4 linked regions of the Saccharomyces cerevisiae S288C genome follow. Changing the gene in region 1 together with any one later gene gives a genetic interaction. Each region holds a gene or a part of one and is shown on either strand. Other genes may lie near its edges. The genes, in order: KIN2, RHO3, YKL162C and BNA1.

The links.
Region 2: of KIN2 (region 1) and RHO3, extra expression of one rescues a mutant of the other (dosage rescue), as found in Saccharomyces cerevisiae (one study listed by BioGRID).
Region 3: mutations in KIN2 (region 1) and YKL162C together harm fitness more than expected from each alone (negative genetic interaction), as found in Saccharomyces cerevisiae (3 studies listed by BioGRID).
Region 4: mutations in KIN2 (region 1) and BNA1 together harm fitness more than expected from each alone (negative genetic interaction), as found in Saccharomyces cerevisiae (2 studies listed by BioGRID).

Annotation. Positions count from the first base shown.
Region 1 is NC_001144.5:329,585-337,414, forward strand, and holds KIN2 (serine/threonine protein kinase KIN2), read left to right. Parts: upstream 1-3,005; coding exon 3,006-6,449; downstream 6,450-7,830. Other genes in the region: IOC2 (Ioc2p), read right to left, coding at 93-2,531; SCF ubiquitin ligase complex subunit HRT3, read right to left, coding at 6,647-7,681.
Region 2 is NC_001141.2:136,884-141,838, forward strand, and holds RHO3 (Rho family GTPase RHO3), read left to right. Parts: upstream 1-2,868; coding exon 2,869-3,564; downstream 3,565-4,955. Other genes in the region: RPI1 (Rpi1p), read right to left, coding at 1-994; pheromone-regulated protein PRM5, read right to left, coding at 3,730-4,686. UniProt on the Saccharomyces cerevisiae protein: Plays an important role in cell growth. Required to keep the uninucleated state. Modulates morphogenesis during bud growth via directing organization of the actin cytoskeleton and the position of the secretory machinery for exocytosis.
Region 3 is NC_001143.9:146,243-151,523, forward strand, and holds YKL162C (type II protein arginine methyltransferase), read right to left. Parts: upstream 2,597-5,281; coding exon 1,388-2,596; downstream 1-1,387. Other genes in the region: putative protein kinase KDX1, read right to left, coding at 3,144-4,445. UniProt on the Saccharomyces cerevisiae protein: Arginine methyltransferase involved in the assembly or stability of mitochondrial NADH:ubiquinone oxidoreductase complex (complex I).
Region 4 is NC_001142.9:469,345-474,115, forward strand, and holds BNA1 (3-hydroxyanthranilate 3,4-dioxygenase), read right to left. Parts: upstream 2,328-4,771; coding exon 1,794-2,327; downstream 1-1,793. Other genes in the region: REC107 (Rec107p), read right to left, coding at 1-235; U4/U6-U5 snRNP complex subunit LSM8, read left to right, coding at 440-769; methylthioribulose 1-phosphate dehydratase MDE1, read right to left, coding at 886-1,620; YJR026W (gag protein), read left to right, coding at 3,416-4,738.

The sequences.
Region 1 (7,830 bases):
CCTACGGATGTGCGGCTGGAAAAGAAAGTTTCATGAAGAACCAGTTGATATATATTTTACTATATACTTTTGCTGTGTATTTCTATATGAGGCTAGTTGGTTGGTGGGAACTGGAAGTGAAAGTTCTGTTCTTTAGGGTGCAGCGGTTGCTGTTGCTGTTGCTGTTGCTGTTGCTGCTGTGGTTGGATTGATGCTTGTGATGTTTGTGGTGCCTGTGGTGCTTGTGGTACAGTTTTGCTGCCAGTTTGCTGCGAGTATGTAATTATGGGGTGAGCGGCATTTACATTAGGTGCTGGATTGATGGCTGGATTTGTTTTTTCGTAAGCGGCGATACTAGGCGTTGTGCTACTTGACATGTTTGCAAATGCATTATTAAACACTGGAGGTGAGACAGACTCGGTTAGTTCCCTTTTCTTTGCAAGCTCTTCGAGCCTTTTCTTTTCTTCCTTCATTTTTTTTCTTCTTTCACGGTCTTCCTGTTGTTTTCTTTGTTTGGCCCTTATTATTTTCAATTCAGGCACAAAAATGTTGCGCAGCTCAAGTTCCAAGTCCCTGATGCACCAAGCGCAGATAAAAGTGGAGCATTCAGACAGCGGTTTGCGTTTATCAGTAGGTCTTGAAGACTTGGTGCTGGGTTCAAGTGTGGATTGGGGTCTGCGAGAAGACCTTCTATTGCCGTGCGAATTTCCCATTATGATGACGCCAAAATCACGTTGCGACAGCGTGTGCTGTGGGGATTTTGTGGTTGAAGATATAAGCTCTATAATTTTTGGAGGTTGGCATTCCCAATGCTGCCACCTGTAACAATGATCACAGCATATCAATGGGCGGTTATTGAAGAGGTCAGTCTCCGTGTCTTCGGTGATAATCATGGGCGCCAGCTCTGGTTCGCCCGGACATTGGAAAACAGAATCTTGGTTGTCGGGCTCTTGCTGCGGAGTAAAGATCCCGTAGTTGGCAAGCTCATCTAGCTCTTCCTTTGTTATGCAGAAGTCACTAGGCAATTCAGGGACGTCTCCCGTCTGTAGTGGCCCAACAGTTCCAGGAATTGGTGGTTCCACCGGGATTATACTAGATTGAAAGTTAGGGCCGTGATCAAGAACTCCGATATCGATTTCATTTAAGGGATTGTCCTCCTCCCTGCCCAAAGACGTTTCAAAAAACGGTGTACCAGAACCACTTCTATCTTTGAGCTCGTTACGCCTGGTCAATTTTTCATCTCTATAATCTTGATCGTACAATTGCCACAATTGGTTCCAAAGAAGATCTTTTATCTTTTTGATTTCCTTCGACACTAGCTTGTTTCTGTGCCTTATAAATTGTTCTCTTTCATCTAGTTTTTCAAACCACTCACTTTCCAAGTCTTTTTTCTTGTTTTCTTCCTCTTTCGCTACCAGTCTCGAAGATCTTTTCCTCCTTGTCATTAGCTCCGCAATTGCTCTCTCCTTTTCTCTGTTGGCCAAAAGTTTTGCCGAATATAGTCTATGTTCGGCATACACCGGTATTAAGTTAGTTATGAACTCATCTATGGCTTTCGAACTTTTATTCTCTGACCAGTATTCTAGCATGGACCCCCAATTAGTTGTAATCACATCATAATCAATTGTAATCGATTGAAGATATGCATCGATATCGTGAGAGTACTCGAGATGAATAAGCTCCACTGAATCAGGAATGTCTGGGTCGCTTTCTTTTATAGTACAGTTCTGTAGTTTTATTGGGATATTCAGAGTTTGAGAGACTTGGGAGGAAGAGCCTTCTTTTACTCTGTGAATGGTTTTCTTTACGAGTACACCAACATTGGGTAAGGCAAACAAGCTCTTCATTTCCTCCCCTCCACTATTATCATCATCCAGTATAACTTCACTAAACGTAAACAGATGCAAGTTATTCGCTAAGTAGTTTTTGAAGATCATATTTTTCATTTCAATTAATTTTATGATACTGTAAATGATGTCGAATTGGCGTGCAATTTCAAGCTCCAAAAAAGGTAAGTCCGTAACCAAATCTGAATACGCGCTCGAGTTTTGCAAGTGATGGTTAACTATAACATTCCAATCTTTCAATTGCCCGCTTTTATTTCCCGCTAATTGATGCAATAATTGCAATCTAATTCTGTCGTACAAATTTTGCGATCCTTCATCTACGTCGACTTCATCATTGTAATAGTTCGAGTCCTTCCCGTCTATCTTCGAAAATACGTCAGTTACAAATACACCTTCATCGAATTTGATATTCTTCCACAAGCATTTGGTAGAGCTACCGCCATACTGGTCAGTATTAAATGTCGTTGTAGTATATGATTCGCAGACATTGGAAAGCCAAGCCATCACATACTGGAAGTGCCAGTGATTGGCCAAGTCCGCGATCTTCTCATCTAATATTTCAGAATACGGCAGCTGGTGCTTGTTCAATTGGGCTATTATGTCTTCGGAGACATATTCTTTCCAGTCTTCACTATCCGCATTCGCAGCGCCGGCAGGCATGCTCGCTCCTACATTTCTTGTACCCCTAGTTCTCTTCGTTCTCATCGATCGCTGATTCACCGCTTTGTATCTATATATGATTAGCCAGTGTGTATGAGTAAAATAGAGCAATTGATCTAGTTTCTTAGTCGTGTCACTATTGAATAAATAAATGTTAATGTTGCTGGAAAGGAAGAATTATGTCACTTTTGACGCTCTCGCATTCCGTGTGCGGTGATAGCGGTAACTTGGTCTAGCAACGAAAATTTAAAAAGGTTGGAAAAGGAAAAGAAGAGCTCAAGTGGACCTAGAAGTCCTGCTTTGCCACCGTTTAAGCAAGGAATAGAGCACGCCGTTGACACAAATTCACAGTCAAGGACGGGCCACGAGAACTTTATTACAAAATATACTGCATTACACGAAATTCAGCGGAACTCTGAGCGCGAACAGCATTAGGTACCGAGAAACGCTTTTCAAAAGAAATTTCTAAAAGTTTTATTGTGCCATTAATATCGCGGCTCAATTGTTAAGTATTTCACTATGCCTAATCCGAATACAGCAGATTACTTGGTGAATCCAAATTTCAGGACCAGTAAGGGCGGATCTTTATCGCCGACGCCAGAAGCTTTCAACGACACGCGAGTTGCTGCACCAGCCACTCTTCGCATGATGGGCAAGCAATCTGGACCAAGAAATGACCAGCAACAAGCACCACTGATGCCTCCTGCAGATATCAAACAGGGCAAGGAACAGGCAGCTCAGAGACAAAATGATGCATCGAGGCCTAATGGCGCCGTGGAATTAAGGCAATTTCATAGAAGATCTTTGGGAGATTGGGAGTTCCTTGAAACGGTTGGCGCAGGCTCTATGGGTAAAGTTAAATTGGTCAAGCATCGTCAAACAAAGGAAATTTGTGTAATAAAGATTGTTAATAGGGCTTCCAAGGCTTATCTCCATAAACAGCACTCTTTACCTTCCCCAAAGAATGAGAGTGAGATATTAGAAAGACAAAAGCGGTTAGAAAAAGAAATTGCGAGGGATAAAAGGACTGTTAGGGAAGCCTCTTTGGGCCAAATCCTTTACCATCCTCATATCTGTCGTTTATTTGAAATGTGCACTATGTCAAACCATTTTTATATGCTTTTTGAATACGTTTCCGGTGGACAGCTGTTAGATTATATTATTCAGCATGGCTCATTAAAGGAACACCATGCGAGGAAATTTGCCAGAGGTATAGCTAGTGCGCTGCAATACTTACATGCCAATAATATTGTTCATCGAGATCTGAAAATTGAGAATATAATGATATCTAGTTCAGGTGAAATTAAGATCATTGATTTTGGTCTTTCCAACATTTTTGATTATAGGAAACAATTACATACGTTTTGTGGTTCCTTGTACTTTGCAGCACCAGAACTATTAAAAGCGCAGCCATACACAGGACCTGAGGTAGATATTTGGTCGTTTGGTATTGTTCTTTATGTCTTGGTCTGCGGTAAAGTACCATTTGATGATGAGAACTCAAGCATTTTACATGAAAAAATAAAAAAAGGTAAAGTAGACTATCCTTCACACTTATCCATTGAAGTTATATCTTTATTAACCAGGATGATTGTTGTCGACCCATTAAGAAGAGCAACATTAAAGAATGTCGTTGAGCATCCATGGATGAACAGAGGATACGATTTTAAGGCTCCATCATATGTTCCTAATCGTGTTCCATTAACCCCTGAAATGATAGATAGCCAAGTTCTGAAGGAAATGTATCGCCTAGAATTTATTGACGATATTGAAGATACAAGAAGATCATTGATCCGATTAGTAACTGAAAAGGAATACATCCAACTTTCCCAAGAATACTGGGACAAATTATCCAACGCCAAGGGGTTGAGTTCAAGTTTAAATAATAACTACCTAAATTCAACGGCACAACAAACCTTAATACAAAATCATATTACAAGTAATCCATCGCAAAGTGGTTATAATGAACCAGATAGTAATTTTGAAGATCCTACTTTAGCATATCATCCATTACTATCAATATATCACTTGGTTTCAGAAATGGTTGCACGGAAATTAGCGAAGTTGCAAAGAAGGCAAGCATTGGCCCTGCAAGCGCAAGCTCAGCAAAGGCAACAACAGCAACAAGTAGCACTTGGCACTAAGGTCGCCTTAAATAATAACTCCCCGGATATTATGACCAAAATGAGGAGCCCTCAGAAAGAAGTAGTACCTAATCCTGGTATTTTTCAAGTGCCGGCAATTGGAACATCGGGAACCTCAAACAACACTAATACCTCAAACAAACCTCCACTGCATGTAATGGTTCCTCCTAAACTAACAATACCGGAACAAGCGCATACTTCTCCAACATCTAGGAAGAGTTCCGACATTCATACGGAATTAAATGGTGTTTTGAAATCAACACCAGTCCCCGTGTCTGGCGAATATCAGCAACGTTCTGCTTCACCCGTAGTAGGTGAACATCAGGAAAAGAATACAATAGGCGGCATATTCAGAAGAATATCACAAAGTGGACAATCTCAGCATCCCACACGGCAACAGGAACCTCTTCCAGAAAGAGAACCTCCAACATATATGTCAAAATCAAATGAAATTTCCATCAAAGTACCGAAAAGCCATAGTCGTACTATATCAGATTATATTCCTAGCGCTAGAAGATATCCATCTTACGTGCCAAATTCTGTTGATGTAAAACAGAAACCCGCTAAAAACACTACCATAGCACCTCCTATAAGGTCAGTATCACAAAAGCAAAACAGTGATCTTCCAGCTTTACCTCAGAACGCCGAACTAATTGTTCAAAAACAACGGCAAAAACTATTACAGGAAAATCTCGACAAATTACAAATTAATGATAATGATAACAACAATGTGAACGCTGTAGTCGATGGTATCAATAATGATAATAGTGACCATTATCTCTCCGTTCCGAAGGGTCGTAAGTTACATCCTAGTGCAAGGGCTAAATCGGTGGGGCATGCTCGTCGTGAATCTTTGAAATTTACTAGGCCGCCTATACCAGCAGCCCTTCCGCCATCAGATATGACAAACGATAACGGCTTTTTGGGAGAGGCAAACAAGGAGAGATACAATCCTGTTAGCAGTAACTTTTCGACCGTTCCTGAAGATTCTACCACATACAGTAACGATACTAACAATAGACTGACTTCGGTGTATTCTCAGGAGCTTACTGAGAAGCAAATTTTGGAGGAAGCTTCAAAGGCACCCCCCGGGTCTATGCCATCAATTGATTATCCAAAGTCAATGTTTTTGAAGGGTTTTTTCTCTGTACAAACAACCTCCTCTAAACCATTGCCTATTGTTCGTCACAATATCATATCTGTTTTAACAAGAATGAATATTGATTTCAAAGAAGTGAAAGGCGGGTTCATATGTGTCCAACAAAGGCCATCTATTGAGACTGCAGCTGTCCCTGTTATAACCACTACTGGCGTGGGTTTGGATTCCGGAAAGGCGATGGATCTGCAAAATAGTTTAGACAGTCAATTATCATCCAGTTACCATAGTACAGCGTCCTCAGCATCAAGAAATAGTTCGATAAAACGCCAAGGTTCTTATAAGAGGGGCCAGAATAATATACCACTAACACCTTTAGCGACCAATACACATCAAAGAAATTCATCTATCCCAATGTCTCCAAACTACGGAAACCAAAGTAATGGTACATCAGGGGAACTATCTTCCATGTCATTAGATTATGTTCAACAACAGGATGATATTTTAACAACATCAAGAGCCCAAAATATAAATAACGTAAATGGTCAAACAGAGCAAACCAATACTTCTGGTATAAAAGAAAGGCCTCCTATTAAATTTGAGATTCACATTGTAAAGGTTCGTATCGTCGGCCTAGCAGGTGTACATTTCAAAAAGGTTTCTGGTAATACGTGGCTATATAAAGAATTGGCATCGTATATTTTAAAAGAATTAAACCTATAGATACGTTGTTCTTACTAAATATTTCAACGTGTGTCTTTCAATTTTTATTATCTAATATTTATCTTTTTTTAATATTATAGTATAATTTATTTAAGCTGAGATCTGCTTTCTTTAATCTTTCATATGATGAAATAATAGTTCTACATAAATCTATAAGAATAATAAATAAAGTAAAACAACTGCAAAAAACATCGATGTCATCCAGGATCCTTGAAAGATTTCACTCTGGAGAAGAAAAAAGATTTCTCATTTCTCAACGAACAGTTAGATGCATTCCCTTCCTTATCCACTACAATTGAACTTAGCCATTTCAACCGTTGATATCTCTTATTGCCTTGATTCTTGATTTGGAATTCTTCGATAAACGTATACTTTTCATCTGACCTTGTTATCTTTAAATGACCAAAATCATAATCAAATCCGAGGCTCCAATAACACATATGACTATGCCTGGGTTTGTTCTCTTTGGAGAAGTGCTTCACGACAGCGCTAGGTTCATCTGTAGAAAGTAATCTCAAACATTGGCCGTTCTCATAAAATCTGAAATACCTGTAATAGGTGATCATGTGAACTGGCTTTAAAAGAGATAACGAACTTTCTGCATTGGAACCGTATCTTACATAATTTACTACACTGATGTAAACACCTTCGAATTTAATATATGGCCTTTCCCTTAACATACGATAATCATCACCCCGCCATATTTCCTTTTCAAAGGTATTTATATCGGTGATTCCGTTAAGATCCATTGCCATTTTGTCGTATATTTGCTTAGAATATATGTACTTCGCGAAAGTTTTAAATGGCACAGAATCGTGGAAGCAAAGCTTGCTAAAGGTGGAACAAGTCATCGACAAATTCACCCAAGATTCACCAGACATTAATATAACTTTTTTAATAATTCTCAGTAAAATGTCGTCAGGCAAGATTTCCAGAATCCAGCAGGGTTGAAGTTCAGCATTTTCTTCAACAGATAAGTCATCTTTACCGGTTTCATTTTGTTCATCTGGAGCATCAGTAGTCATTGATAATCCCGATAGTTTTTTGTGCAGCATCCACTCATCAAGTATTTTTTTTCTGTACAGTGATTCCACATTATCATGGATTTTCAATGCACTTCGATAGAAGTTTATAGCATCTGACATTGACCCATCCTTCTCTTTCAGTACACCTTTTTCCCAAATAGCAATAGCCTCTTTAGCCCTAGGGTCCTTTTCATAATCTACTATCATTTGCTCCTTGAGTTTAGCTTATGGAACACATGTGTCGTCGCCAAAGATGATGGGGAATGTTTGCTTTTATCTTGCTCAGTCGATTTCGCTATCTAGGAACTACAATCCTTTTTTTTGTCATTTGGAAGGCTCTTTAAAATTCCGAATCG
Region 2 (4,955 bases), on another chromosome or scaffold:
TTGTTTGCTGGAAAAATGGCGATGGTGGAGTTTGCAGGATTAGATTGTCTGCCGGTGCTGATGACAAAAGGGAAAATTGAGCCGGGCTAATGAAGGATGGTTCTCCTTTGGTATCCAAAGCTGGCAAAGATTCTAATTTATCGAGGTTGATACTTGACTGAATATGCTCTGGTGTACTAAAAACATTAGTACTATGATTACTATTCCTATTAATATTATTGCTATTATTATTGTTGCTATTGTTACTATTGTTAATATTATTATTGTTATTGTTACAATTATTATAATAATGGTTATTAATATTATCATTAGTACCATTCTTGTTCGGCTTCAATGTTTTTTGCGACTTGAGTATAATGTTTCCGTTTACAAAACTAAAAGTGTTTTGTAACTGCACTAGCAAATACTGCATTCTAGATAATTTTGACGGATCAAAATTTAAGTTTGAGCCTGCCTCTTGTTTTGATTTTTTTTTCTTTTGCTTGGATTTCTTTGATGGATGCACTTTCAAAGACTTTGTGTATAAGACTTTAAATCTATCATGACATTGACGAGAGTTTCTCTCGTACCCATATTGTTGGAATAGGATTTTTGAAATTTTTTTCCAAAAATTCTTCATAGGCTTGAAATATTCTACGAATGTTAGTAATTGAGAATTATTCATTATTGTAGTAATGAATGCTATATCCTCAGGCTCTTTCCATTTTTTCCTTATCTGTCTTGCAGACGAGGAGGATGAATTAGAGTTGTTTAGCTCATTTTCGTCAATAGAGCCTGAGTTGGAGTTGGAGTTCGAATTAGAATTGGAGTTCGAATTCGAATTTGAACTGGAAATTATTCTTGGAGTAACTAAAGAGCAGTCCGAACCCGTTTCTTCATTAAAATTTGAAGTAATGGGTGTGTTTAAATTTGGTGAATAATCAGGGAAATTTTTGCTTATAGTGCTAGACTCATCCATTAGGTTCAACTTCGGTTGAAGATATTCCAAGTACATTTTATAAATATCAGTAATAAAATGATGAGAAAAAAAAAAAAAGACTTAAAAAAAAGGACTGAGAAATAGTTAAACGAATACGATAATATGATATACTACCATGAACTGTAGTCTGGATAACCAAACGGAAAAAAAGGAAATACAAAAAAAGTCAGATTGTAAGGAAAAAAAAAGAGTAGTTTCAGTATTACGAAAACTATTAGATCTTTCTTTAATTTGAACAAGAAAACAAGACTATAAAAAAAAATACTCTTTAGGATGCAGACATAAAAGAACAATACGACCGTCCCTTATTTATATATAGTCCATAGAAATAATCTCAACCAATATAATATGCAAGAAAATAACGAAGTAAGGAACAAGCACAATGGTACGCCCGGTCTTGAAAAAGTTTAAAACAGTACTCGACCCTAGGCGCTAGGGTGGGTGACGCATTTTAACTTTGCAACAGAATGCCATATGCGGTGTTAACCTCACAAGATCGGCTCTACTATCTGCAAGCTGCGGCAAATACCAGAGAAAATTCCATTCCCGTCGACAAAATTTAACCGACCCCCCCCCCCCCCAATTTACGTTTATCAGCTAATCCAAATGTGGAAGGGCAACATTCTCGACGACTCCTTTTTCCGTAATTTAAGTTTGCCCAGGCAAAATCTTATACTTGTTTTCGTAAGAGAAAGATGCGCAGATCCTTTAAGGTTACCTTCAAGCAAATCCAGAAGCACAAATGGCAGGGGAGAAAAGACATGAAGCAGGAGTAGTCAACCGCAAAAACCCCCGCGGGCTTGTTGTTCTGCACATTTTTGATGTGTTTGTTCCTAAGACAAAGTCCTAACTTAGGGTAGTAAGTGACTATATTCTGCACGCTCTTAAAGCAGCCACCTCGTTTAATTTTGCATGCTTATATAAGCTTATAAACGAAGTACCTGAGGACCTGCATCGGCCGGCCCATGTGAAAAGGAAGTATTTACTTTTTCTTCTTCTTTACTATGGAAATAGCTGGAATCCGACTATGCATATGCGTAAGAAAAGAAAATGAAGGAGTTTTCACAGGAAAGCACACTTGCATACTGGGCACAAGTGAGGAGAGGGGCCTGTAATGCTTCTGTGTTTAAAAGACTCCGAAATTAGTCAACGCAGATTTGCAGATGCACGCAAGAATACATAATCAATCACAGTAAGCACATCTCCCCAAGGAAAGAGTAAATGCCTTCGAGCCAGCATTGTGGTCATGCGAGATGTCTAAGAAAAATACTTCGATAAGCACGAGGAAATGTAATATGTCTATCTACCTTATTTTTTTTACAATAAACATATAATAAATCCCTTATCTGGTCACGTGAATTAAACTTCGGGTGTGTTGTAAGAATGGAAGGAGTAAGCGAAACTCAAATTGAGGCCACTTACCACTTCCGGTCGAGCCCGGCCCAGAACCAGTCGTCGGCCAACTTTTTTCTTGGAACAGCGTTACCGCACCTACGCGAGAAATAGTAGATTATAGATAAGAAATACAAGGAGAGGGGTGTGGATGAGCTTTTTTACAAAATAGTGTAAGGCGTCCGGGAAACCCCAAGAACGTTTTTTGACATCCACTAACAGGATTACCCGTCATAGATATACTGGTGCCATTACCCGTTAATGGCATCTTGTATATTTCTTTTATCTTTCTTAACATTCCTGAAAATTGGTAAACAGTAAAAAGAAAAGAAAAAGAAAGAAAAAACATGTATTATTTTGAATTTACTGGAAAATAGGCAACCATTGATTTTCGTTTTTTTATCGTTCTCATCTCTAGCTCTGGTCAGCATTTTTTACTTTATAACAACAAGTTTTTCATTAAAATCCATAGTAGCACAAGGTAAAGGGAAACAAACATGTCATTTCTATGTGGGTCAGCTTCAACGTCAAATAAACCGATCGAAAGAAAGATCGTTATTTTGGGCGACGGTGCCTGTGGTAAAACTTCGTTGCTGAATGTTTTCACCAGAGGTTATTTTCCCGAAGTTTATGAGCCTACTGTTTTTGAAAACTATATCCATGATATTTTCGTTGACAGTAAACATATCACGCTATCGTTGTGGGATACTGCGGGCCAAGAGGAATTTGACAGGTTACGATCCTTGTCTTATTCAGATACGCAATGTATAATGTTATGTTTCAGTATTGATTCACGCGATTCTTTAGAAAATGTCCAAAATAAATGGGTGGGTGAAATCACTGATCATTGTGAAGGCGTCAAGTTAGTCTTAGTTGCACTAAAGTGTGACTTAAGAAACAATGAAAATGAATCTAACGCAATCACACCGAACAATATCCAACAGGATAACAGCGTTTCTAACGACAACGGAAATAACATAAATAGCACCTCAAACGGCAAAAACCTGATAAGTTATGAAGAAGGTCTAGCTATGGCTAAAAAGATCGGTGCGCTACGTTATTTGGAATGTAGCGCTAAGCTGAATAAAGGTGTCAACGAAGCTTTCACAGAAGCCGCAAGAGTTGCTTTAACCGCGGGCCCAGTAGCAACCGAAGTGAAAAGTGACAGTGGATCCAGCTGTACCATTATGTAATATAATAAGACACGGACGCACACACAAAAGAATAGAACCCAAAAAGAGAGACTAAACAAATAATATAATAAGTTATAGAAGTTAATAATACTCCTACTATTTTATATTTTTTATGTAATTACTACCACTGCTTAAAAAAAATATTGCAAAATATCATAAAAGTTTTTACTCATCCTGTTCTTTCCCCTCCAGCATGTGCTCGAGATAAGTCGAAGGTGTAGGTTTTCTTTTGGACTGTACGACCAACAAATTACCCTTACTATGGTTACGATTTACGCTACCATCACTTTCTGGTGAATTAAGCAGCTTTCGACTTGGTGAAGATGCAATTTTTGCGGGTTTCCTTATGTCTTCACCCACCTCCTTTTCATTACCGTTATCGAGCGACGATGCGGATGATGAAGAGATTGTAGACACCAGAGAATTTGTAGATACATTATCACTTGTCATAATCACAGGTTTCTGTAATAATCTAGGGCTTTCTTGGTAAAGTTTAGATAGCCTTGTTTTGTATAAGATATCACCTGTTGGTGAAATGAAAAGTGAATTTCTGTTGGATTCGGATGCAAGAGAGAATAGCGGCCTTTCGAAATTACTTAAGAATGGTTTTTCATTATTAGTATGAGATACAAGTGCATCTTTCACCGATTCATCCTTATTTCCGGGACTAATATCGGACTCGCTGATATGGACCTGATCTTGGAAATTTTCTTTGGCGGGATAATCCATATATGGGGAATCGCCGTAAAACTGGGTATGTTGTGTGGAAAACATCTTTGATTCGTAGTCCTGAACACTTCTGGTCAACCTATGCGAAGAATAAGTTGTTATTACCCACCATAGCAATATTGCCAAAAAAATCACTCCCGCGATTCCCCCCACTACAATGAAAACTGTTCCATTAGGCATATCCCCGGAATCCAAAATATAAGGATTACCATTTCTAGAGGGAGGAGTAATACTTGGTATAATAGAAGAGGATGTAGAGTTGGACAAAAGTGGTAAAGAAGATGAAGAAGAAGCAACAGATGTTATCGTACTACTTGAACTGGCAGTTGTTGTCGAAGAAGTGGAAGTGGTTAATTTTGGAAGGCCTCTCTTGGCAATGGTGATTACTGTCATTCTTGCGTTTTGAGTGTCAATTTATTCTATTTTCAACGACCTTTTAAAGTAATAATGAGTGCTCTTGACTTAACTCTAATGCTATAACTGTTTCTTTGCACCGATGCGTTCCTTTGAATGATCTCAGGTAATATATTAAATATTTTTCAAATGTCTTTACCACATTCTTCAGTAATACATTTTCTCTCTAATTTTTCATTTTCCATTTTCCATTTTATTTTTAGAACGTGTGACAAAGTTGTTTCAAGAACAATATAGAATTCTTAGCC
Region 3 (5,281 bases), on another chromosome or scaffold:
GGCAGAAGAAATACTAAGCGATAACGGCAATGTAGAGGTGCTTTTTTTATCGGAATAAATAGAGAAGTCAGTAACAGTGATTGCTGTGGCTCCCTCTTTAATCGTATCTATGTAGGTTCCGATTAAAGTGGTCGTGATTCAGTATTTTTTTTACTAATCAAAGTACATGCACTGTTTTTTGTGGGGATAGCAATGATTTCAATTTGGCCGTCAACGATCTAAGAAAAAACGTCTCTCTTAACCGTGGTAGATCCTGTTGTAATTGTTTGGACAGTGATACCGAAGAAGGAAGTAAATTCAGTAGCGCCGCATGAGGTAGTAGCAGAAGGAGTTAAGGTTGACCATGGCTCACTTGGCATATACTGTTGGGCAGAAACAGTATAGTGAAACTGTTATCAAACCAATATATTTGGGCTACATGGCTTTCCTTTCCCGAAAAAGACACCATTTAGTAATTATGTTGTACTTTTACTCTCTGAACTTCTGTGAATATAAAAAATATACTAAATAAAAGGATGCAACTTCCTTAAAGAGGGCAAGATAGCGACATAAAGTGGAAAAGTGTTAGCAACATTGCGCAGGCATCGATTAATATATGCATATATACTTTTTACGTAGTCTACGTTAAATTGTCAATAGATCAAGCAGAATCGGTAGCTCTGTTAAGCGATTAAGCCCAGTGGCTTTTTGTCGCACCGTTTAGGTTCGCGTTAGCAAGATGGAAAAAAAAGAACGCGAATCATGTATTGACGTATGACGTATTAGGCAATTTACAAGATTAAACTTAAATTTGCGACGGAGTTTTGAAGTAGAACGAACACCTTACTCATCCGCAACAGGAAATTTTCACGCAGAACGTGCCTAAGAAAAAAAAATCATATGCGTTTACAGGCACAAATGAAGAAAATGACCGGATATGGATATAAGCTTATGGAAGAAATTGCTCCTATTGAGTTAAGAATATGCGAGCGAGACCTGCATAAGGCTAATTATAACTCTTCAACCCAAATTTGTCTTTCTCTTCACACCCATCTCTTATAGTCCCATATATTCATATGAAAGTTCAATGCTTAGACTCAGTGTGTACTTATGATGTCGTTGAAGGCTATTTGGTCTACTGAAAATCCTACCTCGTACGAATACCCTTATAGTATTATTTAAATATGGGGTTACTATTCGCATTCGTTAGAGTGGTGGGAAATTGATATCTTGTTTGGGAGTTGCGAAACAAAAGAGGAGAAGATATGCGCGCTATGTTTTTCTTAAAAGAATGCCTACTGCCTATGAAATGAATATACTAAACGTAAAAGTGTAGATAATAGAAACAAAGATTAAGGTCGCTTACTGTAAAAAACGTCTTCATTTTAATTCAACGAAATAAAAGAAATCACGTGGAGTGTAGCACCGCCAAAGAGCTATTTTTTATGTCTTCTAGTTGAGGCCTATTTCCATTCTGCGACGAAAGTGTGCTTCTCTCACTTGGGCTAATCCATTTTTCAACAAAATCAGCAACGTCTTCGACTTCGCAGCTACTAGAAGAACTGTTAATACCATTATAAATGTTCTGTAACTGTAAGAAGTCCGTCATGAAGCATATTCTTCCACTCCGTTTGTCTGAAAATATTGAATCCGAATATGGCTGTACTATCTGGCTAGATCCCGTCGGCCGTGGGCTTATTAAACTCTTTAATAACGATATTATTGTTGGGCTCGATCTTTGCGGGGTGTCTACAATGAAAAGTCTATGTTCTGGAATATTATTCTTGATTGTCATCAATATCTCAATTAATTTAGTGGGGATATAAAGTTCTTTACCAGGACTTACATGGGATCGATCATTGAACATTTGTTCTAATGCAAGTTCACATGAGTAGTCAATGGCGCTATCAAAGCTCTTGGATTTTTGTCCATTCTTATTGATATCCACAAAGCACTGTTGCCACCCTTTGTCATCTGAAGAGTACCTTACTAAATCGTGGGTTGTGTATTTTATAACATCATTAAGCATCAAAATTTGGATTGGATCCTCTATGTGAAATTTTTTCTGTAAAAAATATGGGGAAACCGGATAATCTTGTACCAAACTGACTGATCCAGGTATTCCGTCTAAGAGCTTCGAAGGTATTTTGTCACACTTGTATAGAGGTACCATGAAATATTTTATTTTCTGGAACATGTTATCAGATAAAGTAGACTTGAGATATGACATTAAATTTTTGCAAATCTGAATTGCTTGGGGTAAATCCGTGTAAATATTCACAATGTTAAGATCGTAATAAGGATAGTCATTTAATTTGTAATTAACCAGTAGCCATTTGGCAAGGCATTTGCTAAATTGTGGCTCACAGTCAAGAATGTTATCAAATGAAAAGGGTTCTTCTTTTGCGGTTGTAGTTACAGGCTTCCTTTGCGTAAAAAAATTTTCTCTTTTCATTATGTTTGGGAAATTTTGCCACTCTATGTAATCTTTCAAAGAAATTCTCGCAGTTTGGCCTCTTCTTATCCCATTTGTAGAGAGTAATTGCTCGAAAGTAAACAGTGGGTAATCAGATTTCAGATGAACTTGAATTCTCAAGGGGTGTAATCTTTTCATCATTCAATCCCGCCAAAAGCACCTTTAAATGATATCAACTTTTTTGTGAAAATATTAGTAAGCTATTTAAAACGGGAAAGAAAACTTGAGAGAGGACTGACGAGGGAATCATGTTTATATTCGGATCATCGCGAATCTACGCAATGGTGTATCCTACTTTCTCACATTTTGGTTTTTCCCGCTTTCGGAAGGAACTGCAAAACCGCCGAGAGGACTTTCTCTTTTTGCAATATTTGAAGTATATACCAATAATTAAGAAGGTGAACAGGCATTTTACATATTCATTATAGATAGTGTATGTGCGCATCTATTAGTTGTGGTTTTCTGCTACAAAAATTTATCGTCTAAATAATTCAAGTTCTTTTTCTAGGTCGAAGAAAAAATCGCTGTCATCCTCATTTGTATTTTGGTTTGTACCATCATTGACATTTATATCGTGACCTGGGGGAGACGATGAAACTGGGCTCATTTTTGTTATATTTGGCTCAGTAGGTCCGTTCAGTAGTTCACTATTTTCATGCTTAGTATCTTGTTTGAAGGTGTTTTCCTTTTAGTTAACACCCTGAAATGAATTAGAGCTTATTCCCATAAGGTTTTGATATGGCTGGGTTGTAGTTAGTGATGGAAGTTGGCTTACATAGGAAAATTCAGGACTATAACTGGGTAAAACTTTCCTAGAAGGATGGACCTGTACAACTTCTTGAGGAATGGCATCCTCTAAAGATAGTGATGATGATGGGGAATCACCGCTAATAGGATGTTTTCTAACAACTTTCCTGAAATCAAATACTTCCTTTATAACTTCGTTTCCTAATTCCGCCATACTTTCGATATGCTCGAATTCGAATCTAAAGGTCTTTTGACATGAGAATTCCTCATCTATATCATGCCACATTGACAAATATGGATGCTCTAGTGCATCCTCTACAGTAATCCTTTTTTTAGGATCAAATTCTAGCATTTTCTTTAGCAATTCAAGCGCTTCTGGATTAGCACCAGGTAGTATGCTTTCAAACGATCTTCCCGGGATATTACCGAACTGAAAGATATAATTATACACCTTTTGAGAGGCAATTTCCTGCAATGTTTCCTCAGGTGGTGTTCCAAGTATTTGTAGAATATGATTCAAATGATCTACATAATCCTTCCCTTCAAACATTGGTTTCCTACCAAGTAGTTCGGCCAAGATACAGCCTGTTGACCAAATATCGACAGCTTTTGTGCATTCTTGATAATTCAGCAAAATTTCTGGTGCTTTATACCATATCGAGGTTATATAACCCTTAATGAAGCCGTCGTTAACCTTGTGGTTTTCTGAATAACTACACGATAGCCCAAAATTACAAATTTTTAGTTGGCAATCACTATTAACAAGTAAGTTTTTTGGTTTCAGGTCACAATGTAAAACATTAGCAGAATGTATGTATTTCAGAGCACACAGTATCTGATATATGAAGCTTTGAAAGTGTGCGTCTTCCAGGCGTTGTTCGGACCTTATAATTTGAGAAAGGTCACATTCCATTAGTTCTTCATATAAATAAACGCCATTTAGTGCCCCATTTGGGTAAAATACTATATCAGTATCGAAGAGCCACACTATATTTGGGTGCCCTCTTAAATGTCTTAGTAGTTTCAATTCACGAAGAGTTCTCTTGCAAGATAGTTTATTGCCAAACGCGTTTGGTATTTTTCTGATAGCCACGTGAGTTTCCTCGTTCGATTCTGTGTAAGTTGAAGAACAAATAAGGCTGTGTGAGCCCCGACCAATCTTACCTGTCAAATGAAAATGTTTATTTAGGATAAAATCTTGGCCGAATGCACGGAAAATACACCTCTCGGTGTCAGTCGCCATTTAATTGTGAATCTTTCTTCGATATCAAACTATTCCAGGCCGAATTAATCTGGCGGTAAGTCACCTTTAGTTATCCTTCCATTTTGTCCCTTTTCATCCAGTCTCAAACGACAATTAGGACTTACATTAAATAGGCTTTTTGCCTAGTATAACATCATAAAAGTACCTTCTTTTGTTTCTTCCAAAAAAAGACAGTAACCATCTGAAAAGAACGTCATTGTCGAAAATTACAAAGTTTGTGGCAGCGCTTTTTACTGCAGCAAGTCAATTGCTTTCATGGCATTTTCAATCAAAATACGAGTTCTTACTAATTCCTACGGTGCTTCCTGCATTGATTGATCGCGAGTTACTATTTTTAACTCGAATGGGTCTGCGCGTGTTTCTCCGGTGTTGTTCAAAATAATCTGTTTGCTGCGTTTAATAACTACAACAGTTAACGGAAACAGTGAAATTTATTGGGGACTTTCAAGTAACGAATAATCATGCTGGTAGAAATATTTCTATTTTTATAATTAACAAATCTTTTAATGACGTCTTGTGGGCTGAAAACTACGGCGTTTATTTTTTAGATAGGTTATTCCTTCGTTGGATTGAGTAAGAAAATGTCGATACTGTGTTACGTTTGCAAGGAAAAGATTTAGTTGCGATTAGCCATTCATTCTTGTGGAAACTTCTTTAAAAAGGGATGGCGATGGAGTACTTATGTCCAATTATGAAGTCAAATTTATTTTCAAACCGTTACACGTAGATTATTTTCCTGCAGTGGTAAGTATCTTTGAAGTGTTGAAAGTTTTTTGGCACATATTTTTTTGCGGATGTGGGCCTGAGTTTCCTGT
Region 4 (4,771 bases), on another chromosome or scaffold:
CTTTAATTAGCTTGTCAGAGTTTTCCCTCAGCTCCATACTCTCCAATTCCAGTTTACCTGCCCATTCCAGTATCTGCTTGTCCGATTCCTCTAAAGCGCCTGCATTCGCTACTTTCCCACTGTGGGAGAATATAGATCTGAACGGTGATGATGTTTCTGTAATCATCAACGAGTGTTCAGAATTAGCCTCTGAAACATCTGTAGATATCTCGTCTGTTCTACCTCTAGCGACCATTTTACTAAATGTTTCTACACGTCTGCAGTATCCTTGTTTTGCTTGTTTTCCTTCTTTCTGTTCTTGTTGATTTTCCCTTTAAGTCCTGAAAATACTATCATGGCGTAAAGGGAAAAAAAAAAACTAATCTTACGTGGTTCTTATAAGATGGACCAGCAAGCTGCATACAGTACACCATACAAGAAGAACACACTATCGTGCACCATGTCAGCCACCTTGAAAGACTACTTAAATAAAAGAGTTGTTATAATCAAAGTTGACGGCGAATGCCTCATAGCAAGCCTAAACGGCTTCGACAAAAATACTAATCTATTCATAACCAATGTTTTCAACCGCATAAGCAAGGAATTCATCTGCAAGGCACAGTTACTTCGAGGCAGCGAGATTGCTCTTGTTGGCCTCATAGATGCAGAAAATGATGACAGTCTAGCTCCTATAGACGAAAAGAAGGTCCCAATGCTAAAGGACACCAAGAATAAAATCGAAAATGAGCATGTAATATGGGAAAAAGTGTACGAATCAAAGACAAAATAATATAGTTGCAATAATAGTAATAATAATAATAATAATAATAATAATAATAATAATAATAATAATAATACCATGTATAGAAGTATATAAATCATACAATAAATTTAAGCATTAACCCGTCACGGACTGGCCATCTTCAGATGCTTCTTCTCTTCGCCAATGCCACAGTCGGGAGGAATCCCCATTTGGTACATCTTTATGGCCAGCTCCATCAAATAATCGATGGCTTCGTTGAAAATTTTGGCCTTATCGATTGTCGGACCCCAAACAAAAATGCCATGTCTCCTCACAATTACGGCGCATGTGTCTGGATAATCTTTAAAAGTCTTGTGCAAGTCATCGATCAACTCGTCCTCATGCGCCATGTTTTCAATGATGGGAATCTTCAGCGTATCAAAAAACGATAGCGCCATGGGTTTCTTGGTCACAGGGTCCACCTTTCCGCTTGGAATTGCTTTGATTTGTTCGATGTTAGCAATCCTGAACTCATCGCCAAATAGCAAGGAGCATATCACAGCATTTTGGGAGTGTGTATGTATTATAGCACCTGCATTTTTCTTTTGGTAGCACGCTAAGAACAATGGAGTACATGCGCTTGGCTTGTAAAGCTTGGGAGAGCGCAAATACTCTAATGTCTGAGCGTCCATGACAAACAAATCCTCAGGTATCATCTTCTCCTTCTGCACCCCAGATGGGGCGAGATAATAATAATTCGTGTTAGGATCTTTTATTGAAATCCCACCTCCAGTTCCGGTGCACCAATTATTATGAAAAAACTGCTTGCATAGCGTGCAAATGAGATTTGCTGGATGGCACGGATCATCTGAATGTATCAGAACATCTTGTGAAGACATAGTCGTTCACTGGCTCCCCTTGTTAGTTCAGTGCTTAAAAACGTTACATATCTTGATGAACAGCTAGCTGCTTTGATCAAGAGAAAAAAAAAAAAAATTGGCACCGCATCTTAGTGCCGCAATCTTACGTAACAAGAGAGCTATAAAAGTACAACTAACAACTCTTCTAATACTTAATTAGATTGAGGGCGTGCGTAGTTTAACGTCTTGCAATGGAAACATGTCCTCTTTTCGACATCATTTTCAAAATCTAAAATGGCTTCTTTCACTTGGGTACCTAAGTCTAACATTTGCAGTTCACTCTCGTGGACCACTTGGCGACAATGAGAACAGTACCACCTTATCTTATCGTTTTCTCCCCCAGGCCTATCTTGTTCCACAACAATACCCACAGTATCAGCAAACCGAACAGGACTGTGAGGAACATTTCCTGGCAATAAATATGAATCGCCTTCATTGATGATGATATCAATGAACTTTGGTTCAGCGTCTGTCTCATCCACAACCTTTAAAAGCATAGATCCTTTTTTTTGATAGAACCATTCGGGAGTTGGATTGATGTGATAACCGGTTCTTTCATTAGGCCCACCGACAATCATCACAGTGAATCCCCCTTTATGTAAGCAATAATTATTCACCGGTGGTTTCAAAAGGCCTTCGTTCTCCTTCAACCATTTGTCGATATTAATTGGTGTAGTATTAAACATTTTTTTCGATTTTTTTGGTAAATGTATGCTATTTCAGTTACTTGTAGACTGTCGTGAAAAGAATAAAGAAAGAATCTTTTACGTCCGTTTTTTTACTTTGCCGAATATGTTTCAGTGACTCACAATTTATCCTGACGCCGTCACAAAGGCAGCCATTCCATTGCAATAACGACACTCTGAATATTCACGAACGTTCACCAGACATTTGGAGGCAGCGTTCTAAATGCCGATACCCGTTCAGGAGTACAGGTGTCAGTGACAGAAAAATAATGGCACCGTTGACGTCGAAAATACATCCGCGCAAATTTTGACAGGCTATTTTGGCAGCGCAATCAAAGAATAAACTTGGTATAGTAAGGAAGCCAGTTACTGTACGCATGAATTACGGTAGCTTTTTTTATTTTATTTATTTTTTTTTTTTTTGGACAAATAGAAAAATTTTTATTATTATGTAAGATTATTGAAGTAAAAATACAATTGGACGAATCTAGTTAGATTGCCAAGATGTGTTAAAAGGCAAGATTAACTTATGAACATGATCTACAACGTCCTGGTTTTTAAATTCGAGTAAATACGCCTCCTTTTTATCTGTGAATGACAGTCCTGTTCTCCCAAGTCTTTTTACATCATGGAGACGGGAGTTATACTCTCTCGGGTACAAGGTTCCTTCAGCATCAGAACAGATCACAAACTTTATCGCAACAACAATTCCTTTATATTCCTGGGAAAATATGTCGGTATAGCCTACTCGAGACGGCTTCCAAACATCAGCTTTCGTTTTAACATGTTGCTGTTGGAATAAAAATCCACTATCGTCTATCAACTAATAGTTATATTATCAATATATTATCATATACGGTGTTAAGATGATGACATAAGTTATGAGAAGCTGTCATCGAAGTTAGAGGAAGCTGAAACGCAAGGATTGATAATGTAATAGGATCAATGAATATAAACATATAAAACGGAATGAGGAATAATCGTAATATTAGTATGTAGAAATATAGATTCCATTTTGAGGATTCCTATATCCTCGAGGAGAACTTCTAGTATATTCTGTATACCTAATATTATAGCCTTTATCAACAATGGAATCCCAACAATTATCTCAACATTCACATATTTCTCATGGTAGCGCCTGTGCTTCGGTTACTTCTAAGGAAGTCCACACAAATCAAGATCCGTTAGACGTTTCAGCTTCCAAAACAGAAGAATGTGAGAAGGCTTCCACTAAGGCTAACTCTCAACAGACAACAACACCTGCTTCATCAGCTGTTCCAGAGAACCCCCATCATGCCTCTCCTCAACCTGCTTCAGTACCACCTCCACAGAATGGGCCGTACCCACAGCAGTGCATGATGACCCAAAACCAAGCCAATCCATCTGGTTGGTCATTTTACGGACACCCATCTATGATTCCGTATACACCTTATCAAATGTCGCCTATGTACTTTCCACCTGGGCCACAATCACAGTTTCCGCAGTATCCATCATCAGTTGGAACGCCTCTGAGCACTCCATCACCTGAGTCAGGTAATACATTTACTGATTCATCCTCAGCGGACTCTGATATGACATCCACTAAAAAATATGTCAGACCACCACCAATGTTAACCTCACCTAATGACTTTCCAAATTGGGTTAAAACATACATCAAATTTTTACAAAACTCGAATCTCGGTGGTATTATTCCGACAGTAAACGGAAAACCCGTACGTCAGATCACTGATGATGAACTCACCTTCTTGTATAACACTTTTCAAATATTTGCTCCCTCTCAATTCCTACCTACCTGGGTCAAAGACATCCTATCCGTTGATTATACGGATATCATGAAAATTCTTTCCAAAAGTATTGAAAAAATGCAATCTGATACCCAAGAGGCAAACGACATTGTGACCCTGGCAAATTTGCAATATAATGGCAGTACACCTGCAGATGCATTTGAAACAAAAGTCACAAACATTATCGACAGACTGAACAATAATGGCATTCATATCAATAACAAGGTCGCATGCCAATTAATTATGAGAGGTCTATCTGGCGAATATAAATTTTTACGCTACACACGTCATCGACATCTAAATATGACAGTCGCTGAACTGTTCTTAGATATCCATGCTATTTATGAAGAACAACAGGGATCGAGAAACAGCAAACCTAATTACAGGAGAAATCTGAGTGATGAGAAGAATGATTCTCGCAGCTATACGAATACAACCAAACCCAAAGTTATAGCTCGGAATCCTCAAAAAACAAATAATTCGAAATCGAAAACAGCCAGGGCTCACAATGTATCCACATCTAATAACTCTCCCAGCACGGACAACGATTCCATCAGTAAATCAACTACTGAACCGATTCAATTGAACAATAAGCACGACCTTCACCTTAGGCCAGGAACTTACTGAATCTACGGTAAATCACACTAATCATTCTGATGA